Linked DNA regions of Macaca mulatta. The protein of the gene in region 2 binds, or shares a complex with, the protein of the main gene of each other region. Links are inferred from orthologs where the notes say so. Each region holds a gene or a part of one and is shown on either strand. Other genes may lie near its edges.

Region 1 (3,649 bases), on a different chromosome or scaffold from region 2:
CAGTGGCTCACGCCTATAATCCCAGCACTTTGGGAGGCTGAGGCAGGTGGATCACTTGAGGTCAGGAGTTTGAGACCAGCCTGGCCAACATGGTGAAACCCCGTCTCTACCAACAAAATACAAAAAAATTAGCCAGGCATGATGGGGGGGTGCCTGTAATCCCAGCTACTCGGGAGGCTGAGGCAGGAGAATCGCTTGAACCTGGGAGGCAGAGGTTGCAGTGAGCCAAGATTGCGCCACTGCACTCCAGCCTGGGTGACAGAGGAGACTCTATCTCAAAAAAAAAAAAAAAGTTTTCTCTCCTGTTGTTTGTTAATATATAGTCATTCAGTAGCAAATTCCTTTACTAAATATTCAGCATAAGAAAGTGAAGGTTATTGGCCAGGTATGGTAGCTCGCGCCTGTATTCCCAGCACTTTGGAAGGTTGAGGCGGGAGGATCACTTGAGCCCAGGAGTTTAAGACCAACCTGAGCAATATAGGGAGACCTTGTCCCTATAAAGAATTTAAAAATTAGCCAGGCCTGGTGGCATGTGCCCTTGGTCCCAGCTACTCTAGAGGCTGAGGTGGGAGGATCACTTGAGCCTGGGAGGTTGAGGCTGCAGTAAGCTATGATCACATCACTGTACTCCAGCCTGGGCAATAGAGTGAGACCATGTCTCCAAAAAAAAAAAAAGTGAAGATTATTAAAACTGAAGGCGTGGAATCACCAAAATACTATTTAGCAGTGCTTTTTCTGTTATCAGTGTGTGCATATGTGATATTTTTTGTCTTTTCAGTAGTTTATCTTATCAGTATGTTAAATGTAATGTCAAGTCTGTGTTGTGTCTTGAACCACTTATTTAACATTTATAATGAAATACATATACACTTGTCTGCTTGGTTCTACCTTTTATTCCCTTGAGAGTAACCCACAAAGAATGGCCTAGCTGAGTCAGAGAGAAGAAGTAATTACTAGAACAGTCTTTTTAGTACTGTTCTGTTTCCAACCTGAAAGATTTAGTACCAGATATGACAGTATGTGTCACTGCAGGCTACTAGGCTCTCATGTAAGAACATAGTTCCATTTCTGTGAGCTAACTGCTGCCCTTCTATAACCTTCACTTTCTGCCACCCTGGTCTGCATTCAAACCAATGACCTTGAGGTAAAAGTCTCCAGATAACATGATTGGTCCCTGTGCTCTCATGATTTCCTTACTTAAGCAATTAAAGGCCAAAGCAAGATGCTTAGTAACTCCTTTTCCACATAGAGGCGCAAATAAAGGAAAGCTAGTCACAAGTTTTGAACCAAAGAGTTAAAAGAAGAATCATAACTTGTCTCTATTTAATGGTTGGAAACTCTCACAGACGTCTCTGAAGTCTCTCCCCATTTTGTACCTTTCTTACAAGTGATGACTGTATACTTTAACCTGACAAGGGAGAGACCAGGGTCACGAAGGTGGTTTTCCCAGGGCGAGGCTTATTCATTGCACTCCAGATGTGCTGACCCCTGTGATTTCCCCAAACATGGGAAACTCAACTGCATAATTGTGATAGTGAGGGACTGTGTTCATGCTTTCCCCTGGTTAAATTAAAATTTTTTAAAGTTATTTTAAAAATATAAAAAACAAGATTTGACTGTATTCTGCCTTGTACCACTCTTGTTTGTCTTTCACTAGTGCAAAAATTGTGATATAGCTGTCTTCATATACCCCACAATACCTGGTGCAGTAATTCTGTGCATAGTAACTTATTAAGAAATGTCTGTTTGTTGTATGAATGAAATTTACATTTCTAAAGAAACATGTTAGCTACAATTATTGTGATAAGAAAGCTTAGCAACGTTTTCTCATTGAAAATTGTAATCAAACAATGAGCTTTTCAGAAATGATTTACTTACAAATTCCATATTTGAATGCAGGACAGAATCTAGACAGTATGCTCCATGGCACTGGGATGAAATCAGACTCCGACCAGAAAAAGTCAGAAAATGGAGTAACCTTAGCACCAGAGGATACCTTGCCTTTTTTAAAGTGCTATTGCTCAGGGCACTGCCCGGATGATGCTATTAATAACACATGCATGTAAGTATTTTATGCAGCCCTTCTTAAGAGTTAGGAGAATAGAGTTGCATTTAGTGCTATTTTAAGAATTATTAAGCTTGTCTAAGGTTTTTTTTTTTTCCTTCATATATGGTATCTTTCCAGAAAGCCAAAAAGCCTTGTGTTTTGTGTATTAGAACATTACTCCATTAAATGATTGATAGGTGAGTTACTATATTAGAATTATGTTATAATGCAGCTTTTAAAATAATTTCAAAGGGATTTAGTATTTTTTTTAACATCTGAGTTTTTTAATGATCTTTTAATCTTGAAGTCATTTTAGAAAACTTAGAGATTACCAAAAAAAAAAATCAAAAAACTCACCGACAACCTCCTACTTCTTCTGTAGACAGGGTCTTGCTATTTTGCCCAGGCTGGTCTCAAACTCCTGGGCTCAAGCAATCCTTCCACCTCAGCTTCCCAAAGTGCTGGGATTACTAGTGTGAACTGCCACACCTGGCCTCCTACTTTTTAATTGGTTGAAATATTCTGCGGATATATATTAATCATATTGTGTTAATTAATTTTGAACTTTTTTCTTACCTGTGAATTTACCAATCCAAATCTGATTTATAATTTTTCTACTGTATTTCATGTTAACTCCACAACATGTTTATATATGATTATGTAATTCTAGTCCATATTTGTTGGAAACACTTGACATATTGACTTAATAAGACCAAAAAAAAAAATTGCCTGAACAACTCAACCTGAATTAATTGTCTCCTTGTTATAGAGGCAGTAACGAATGTCATGTTTTGTACTTTTAATAATTGTATGCTCCTTGAATGGACCAGATAGAAAGCATGAAACTTTACACGTAAACTCTTGAACCTATGTGATGGTCATCGTGTCTTAGGTGTGCTGCTTGTCCCCTGGTGGTGGTGGACTCTGCATGGCTGACTGTGACTAGTTTTCCATTTACACCTTCCTGGGAGTTTGCCAGCAGGGAACTGCTCTCCACTGTGTCACCAAATAATCTTTTGCTAAATTTCTTGTCTGTAGTACCTGCCTGATATAATGGGCTGTCTGTTAGTAACCCAGAGTAACCCAGAGTAAAACTGAGTCATCCATTTTAGCAGAATTCTGCCCCACACGTAACATTTTCTCCTGACAGAAAACAAAGAATTCTGCAAAATTCTTCTAAGTAGAAGCAGCACAATTCCTGATATTAACAATAAATAGGAGCGCAGAAAAAGCTTTTAGAAATTTCTCCCAGACCTGTTGAAGTCTATATGAATATATTAAGGGGAAATTCCAGGATGCTAACACTAAGATAATAATTTCATTAAATATATGTATGTAAATTTATTGAAAATTTATTCAAAAGTCCTCTCCCTGTTTTCCCATCATATTCAGTAAAAGGTGCCTTTCAGTCCCCCTTTTTTGGGTCATTAAGCCTATCTGTATATTTCAGAGAAAAGTTTTTATCTATTAGCATATACAATATGGGAGTACTGAAAAAATGGGTAAAAAGAGACAAAGTTATTTTAAAGTATATTTTCAAAACATGACTTACCTTATAAAATTGTATAAATCAGCTTTCTGTGATTACATGACTGTGATTAG
Region 2 (4,346 bases):
GGATTTTGTTGCCTATGTGTCTTACTCTCCTGAGTGTGTGCGTGTGTTACAGTTGTATGTGTGTGTGTGATTGGGTTCATGTGTGAATATGAAAGAGTATACGTTAATGTTGGGTTCATGTGTGAATATGAAAGAGTATACGTTAATGATGCATTATATGTATAAATGATTGGGCTTGTGTACTATTTGAAGAGCACATATATGTATGTATGTGCATAATCGATCTTGTGTACACGTGTATGTAAGAAGGTGTGTGTGCACATGCGTACGTGTGTGATTCGGCATGCGTGTACATGTGTGATTCGGCATGTGTGTACATGTGTGGTTCAGCATGTGTGTACGTGTGTGAGTCAGCATGCGTGTACATGTGTGATTCAGCACGTCTGTATAAACATAAGGCTATGTATGCTTATGTGAGAAGCTCAGTAGTATCTCTGAATCAGCATGCCCTCCTTCCTGAATACCAATTTGCCATTGGGGAGCTTTCATATATTGCTCTAGAAGGTGACTAATTAGGCCTTTAAACTCCCCATCTCCCCCTCTCGAAGCTCCCTTAGTGCTGGGGGGCACAAGGACTTATTTTATGAGCCCCCAAGGGGTCACAGCTTTCCCTGGCTGGGCAGGCAGCCAGACCACCTCCCCCACCTCAGCCAGACCTGCTGCCTCTGTGCCTCTCCCACCCCCCCACCCCCCGCCCCGGCAGCCCCCTCCAGGCCAGCTCTAATGAGAAACCTCTCCCACCCTCTGACCCCTCCCCCACCCTGCCAGCCTAGGACCAGAGCAAATGAGCTGCAGGCAACTTGAGCGACCAACAGCCCACCTCCCTCTTCACACTAGGAAGAAACTGAGGCCCTCAGAGCGGGAGGGACTTGCTTAGATCACACAGCAAGTGGAGAGGAAAAGCTGCAACAGTAACACTAGGTGGGCAGAGAGAGACAGAGGGGAGCAGAGAGAGACAGAGGGGAGCAGAGAGAGACAGAGGGGAGCAGAGAGAGACAGAGGGGAGCAGAGAGAGACAGAGGGGAGCAGAGAGAGACAGAGGGGAGCAGAGAGAGACAGAGTGGAGCAGAGAGAGACAGAGGGGAGCAGAGAGAGACAGAGGGGAGCAGAGAGAGACAGAGGGGAGCAGAGAGAGACAGAGGGGAGCAGGTAGTCTCCCGAGTTAATGTAAGGAGAATGAGGCGTGTTCAGGACAGGACCTAAAGTTTTCATGTCGGAAGCGCTCTCAGAAACCACCCTGTCCAACCCCATATAGGTGTACAGATGGGAAAACAGAGACCCCAAGTGAGAAGGGGCTTTCCCAAGGTCACACTGCGAGTTAGACCCTAGGTCTGCTCCCTCCCCATATATTCGAACATCATTCCATGACTCCAAGATGCCCCATTTACTGTGAGCACCTCTCTTGCCTCCTCTATCCCCTTGCCTGAGGGCAAAGTTGCAGAACCACGGGGACCTCAAGATTCATTTCTTTCTCTGCCATCTGAGACCACCTACAAACCCCTGGAGCGTGGAAAGTTCGGCCAGCCCAGCAGGGACAGATGCACAGCTGGGGAATCAAGTCTTGGAATCCGGTCTCCAACTCTGCCACCAACTGGCAGGTGTTGTCTCCTCTCTAGGCTTTAGTGCCCGCCCTGCACCTTGCAGGCGTTGAACCTGGTGATTCCTAGGTGCCCTCCAGCCCTGATGTGTGGGCAGCTCGGGATCTGCTATGTGTGAGATATGTGTGAGCGTCCCCATACACCCACCCCGGGCCAGATGCACACAGTGTCTCCCACCAGGGCAGTGCCAGGGCTTTGAAAGCCCCTCCATTCATGCAGATGCCCCTCCCTCTGAGCCGTGCCCCTGCCACCCCGCCCCTCACCTTGCCCTTTGTCAATAAAGCTGGTGATGGTGTTGGCCAGGCCAGCCTCCAACTTCACGCTGCTGTTGCCTCCCTTTCTGTCAGCATCGGACAGCGTCCTGTACAGCGAGAGCATGTACTCGTGGGGTGTGATGGGGGGCGGGCGGAACGGCTCCTTGGGCTCTCGCGGGGACCCGGGCTCCCTGGCCTTCTTCAGCAGGAAGGAGCTGGGGACAGATCCTGCTTTTGGGGGTACCTTGCCCCCGGGAAGCTGTCCTTTTGGGGTCACAGTCCGGGCTGTAGCCTGCCTTGTTTGGGGAGGGTGTCCTGGCTTGGGTTCAGGGCCACCCGGTCTGGGGGGCAGCTTTTTGGGTTCATCCTTTTTGGGCTGTGTCAGGCCTCCTGTGTGCCCGGTGCCTCCCTTTGCCCTGGCATTGGCGGCCCCCCCACCATAGCTGTGACCCCCTGGCCTGAAGACGTTCCGGGCCAGGGGGGGCCTCTCCTTGGCCTCTGCTTTGGCCAATCCTGGCCTGGTCCCCTGGGCTTTCTGGCCCCAGTCAGGGGCACCCAACACAGTGCAGATGAATTCCAGGTCCAGCCAAGCCAGGTACCAAAGCAAGAAAGTGAGGAGTTTGGGGAGTCTCATCCTCTGGCCAGCCGCTGAATGACACCAAAGAGAACAGCGGCAGCAGCGAAGGTGCCTCTGGTTTGGCAGGAAAAACCATGAAAGGAGTGGACTTTCAAAAGCAGCGGCAGCAGCAGTAGCAGCAGAAGGAAAGGCTTTCTCCTCAGTCTGAGACTCTTGAAGTCTGCCGGGTGTGTGTTTGTATCCAGTCCCATAGTGGAAATGCTCTCGTATCCAGACGTGCACCGTCTCCAGTCAGCAGCTGAAAATAACTTGTTCTTGAAAGGAGAAAGCCGACCGCCCCCTTTCTCCTGCACAACTGACTGAGGGCTTGAAGGAGGCTTGTATAAGGCTGAGGGATTTTTCCAAGAAGGAAGAATGGCGTAATGCTGCCTGTGTGCTCCAGTTTTTTTTTCCCCCTAGTTTTGAATCCTTTCCAGTGAAAATACTTCACACACACACACACACACACACACACACACACACAGGCCTGCAGGTGCTCAGAAAAATCTTTTACAAACCTGAACTCAGGAATTGGAAACGGAATTCCAACCCAAACCAATTTAATTACTCTCTGATGTCATGCTGTCTAAACTCATTTAAGTGCGATATATTTATGTGAAAAAAATCACCGCTGCCCTTTCGAGGCCATGGCTCACGGGGGCTCTTGGCACAGAGCCCCGCAGCGGGACTCTAGGCTTAGGGGGCCTCCCCCTCCATGGAGCAGACTCAGGGGTCTTCACCTCCACCTCATGGAGCAGCCCACCCCACCTTCCCAAGGAGAGATGCTGAAGAATGAGCTCAAAGATCTTAAGCCCCAGAAGCATGGGGAGTGTGGGTTTGTAGTTAAGTCCTTAGAGTGTTTTTAAAGCAGTTTCAACTCCTGCATCTAGCCTGGGACCTGATTTGTTGTATGTGTGTGTTTATGTGTGTCTGTGTGTGTGTGCCTCTGTGTGTGTGTGTGTGTGTGTGTGTGTGTGTGTGTGTGTGTGTGTATTGGGAGTAGGGACAGCACAGATGGCAGCATTTACCCACATTTTCTTTTATTTTAATAAACTTGTGGTGACCCAGAGACTGAAAAATATCTGTGCCCACTACACCCCCTCCCTACCACCAAATGCCATTGACTGAGTGCATATTCTTCAGGCTTGGGGGCACTGCCGCCCTAAAGTCCACTCCTTGGATGGCGGCAGGTCCAGGGTGTACCCCACCTCCACCCCGGCAAAGACGTCCTCCGAGTTTTCTTAGAAGAGACTGGCTGAGTCTGGGGCAGCAGCGGCCCCTACAGGAGGCTGGAAAAGCCATTTCCCACATGATGCTTTTCTTTTTTCTTTTTTCTTTTTTTCTACGGAGTCTCGCTGTGTAGCCCAGGCTGGAGTGCAGTGGCGCGATCTCGGCTCCCTGCAAGCTCCGCCTCCCAGGTTCACGCCGTTCTCCCGACTCAGCCTCCCGAGTAGCTGGGACTACAGGCCCCCGCTACCACGCCCGGCTGATTTTTTATGTTTGTAGCACAGACGGGGTTTCACCGTGTTAGCCAGGATGGTCTCCATCTCCTGACATCGTGATCCACCTGCCTCGGTCTCCTAGAGCGCTGAGATTATAGGCGTGAGCCACTGCGCCCGGCACAATTTCCCACATGATGCTTTTCTGGTAAGTCTGGAAGTTCTGAATTCCAGCTGAACTCGAGTATTCTAAATGAAAACCCATTGAAGTATGGAAGCTCCCTTCCTCTGGGGGACCTGTGCGATAGAGCCCCTGGGCAACTTACCCCAGGGTCAGCGGGGAAAGCTGTTCACTTCACCTGAAATCTCCTCCTCTCTCTCTCCCACAACTGGAGGAAACACTCCACATCCTGAGAAGTTTAGCTGAAAATTCACCTCC

What was found. Proteins that work in one complex are often made in the same cells at the same time.
Region 1: the proteins of GDF5 (region 2) and BMPR1A are in contact, whole or in part, in a crystal structure (PDB 3QB4), measured with the Homo sapiens proteins. The link is inferred for Macaca mulatta from reciprocal best matches to the Homo sapiens genes GDF5 and BMPR1A. Residues at the interface, in NP_000548.2 of Homo sapiens: Arg399, Phe435, Pro436, Leu437, Ser439, His440, Glu442, Pro443, Asn445, Val448, Ile449, Leu452, Ser455, Met456, Pro458; in NP_001393490.1 of Homo sapiens: Gly65, His66, Cys67, Pro68, Ile77, Thr78, Phe83, Ile85, Glu87, Cys100, Met101, Lys102, Glu104, Gly105, Phe108, Gln109, Asp112, Ser113, Lys115, Ala116, Gln117, Arg120, Ile122.

The regions. Positions count from the first base shown.
Region 1 is NC_133414.1:62,961,140-62,964,788, reverse strand, and holds part of BMPR1A (bone morphogenetic protein receptor type-1A precursor), read left to right. Parts: intron 1-1,398; exon of another isoform or gene 1,399-1,563; intron 1,564-1,899; coding exon 1,900-2,062; intron 2,063-3,649. UniProt on the Homo sapiens protein: On ligand binding, forms a receptor complex consisting of two type II and two type I transmembrane serine/threonine kinases.
Region 2 is NC_133415.1:88,244,599-88,248,944, forward strand, and holds the start of GDF5 (growth/differentiation factor 5), read right to left. Parts: upstream 2,871-4,346; 5' UTR 2,487-2,870; coding exon 1,862-2,486; intron 1-1,861. UniProt on the Homo sapiens protein: Growth factor involved in bone and cartilage formation. During cartilage development regulates differentiation of chondrogenic tissue through two pathways.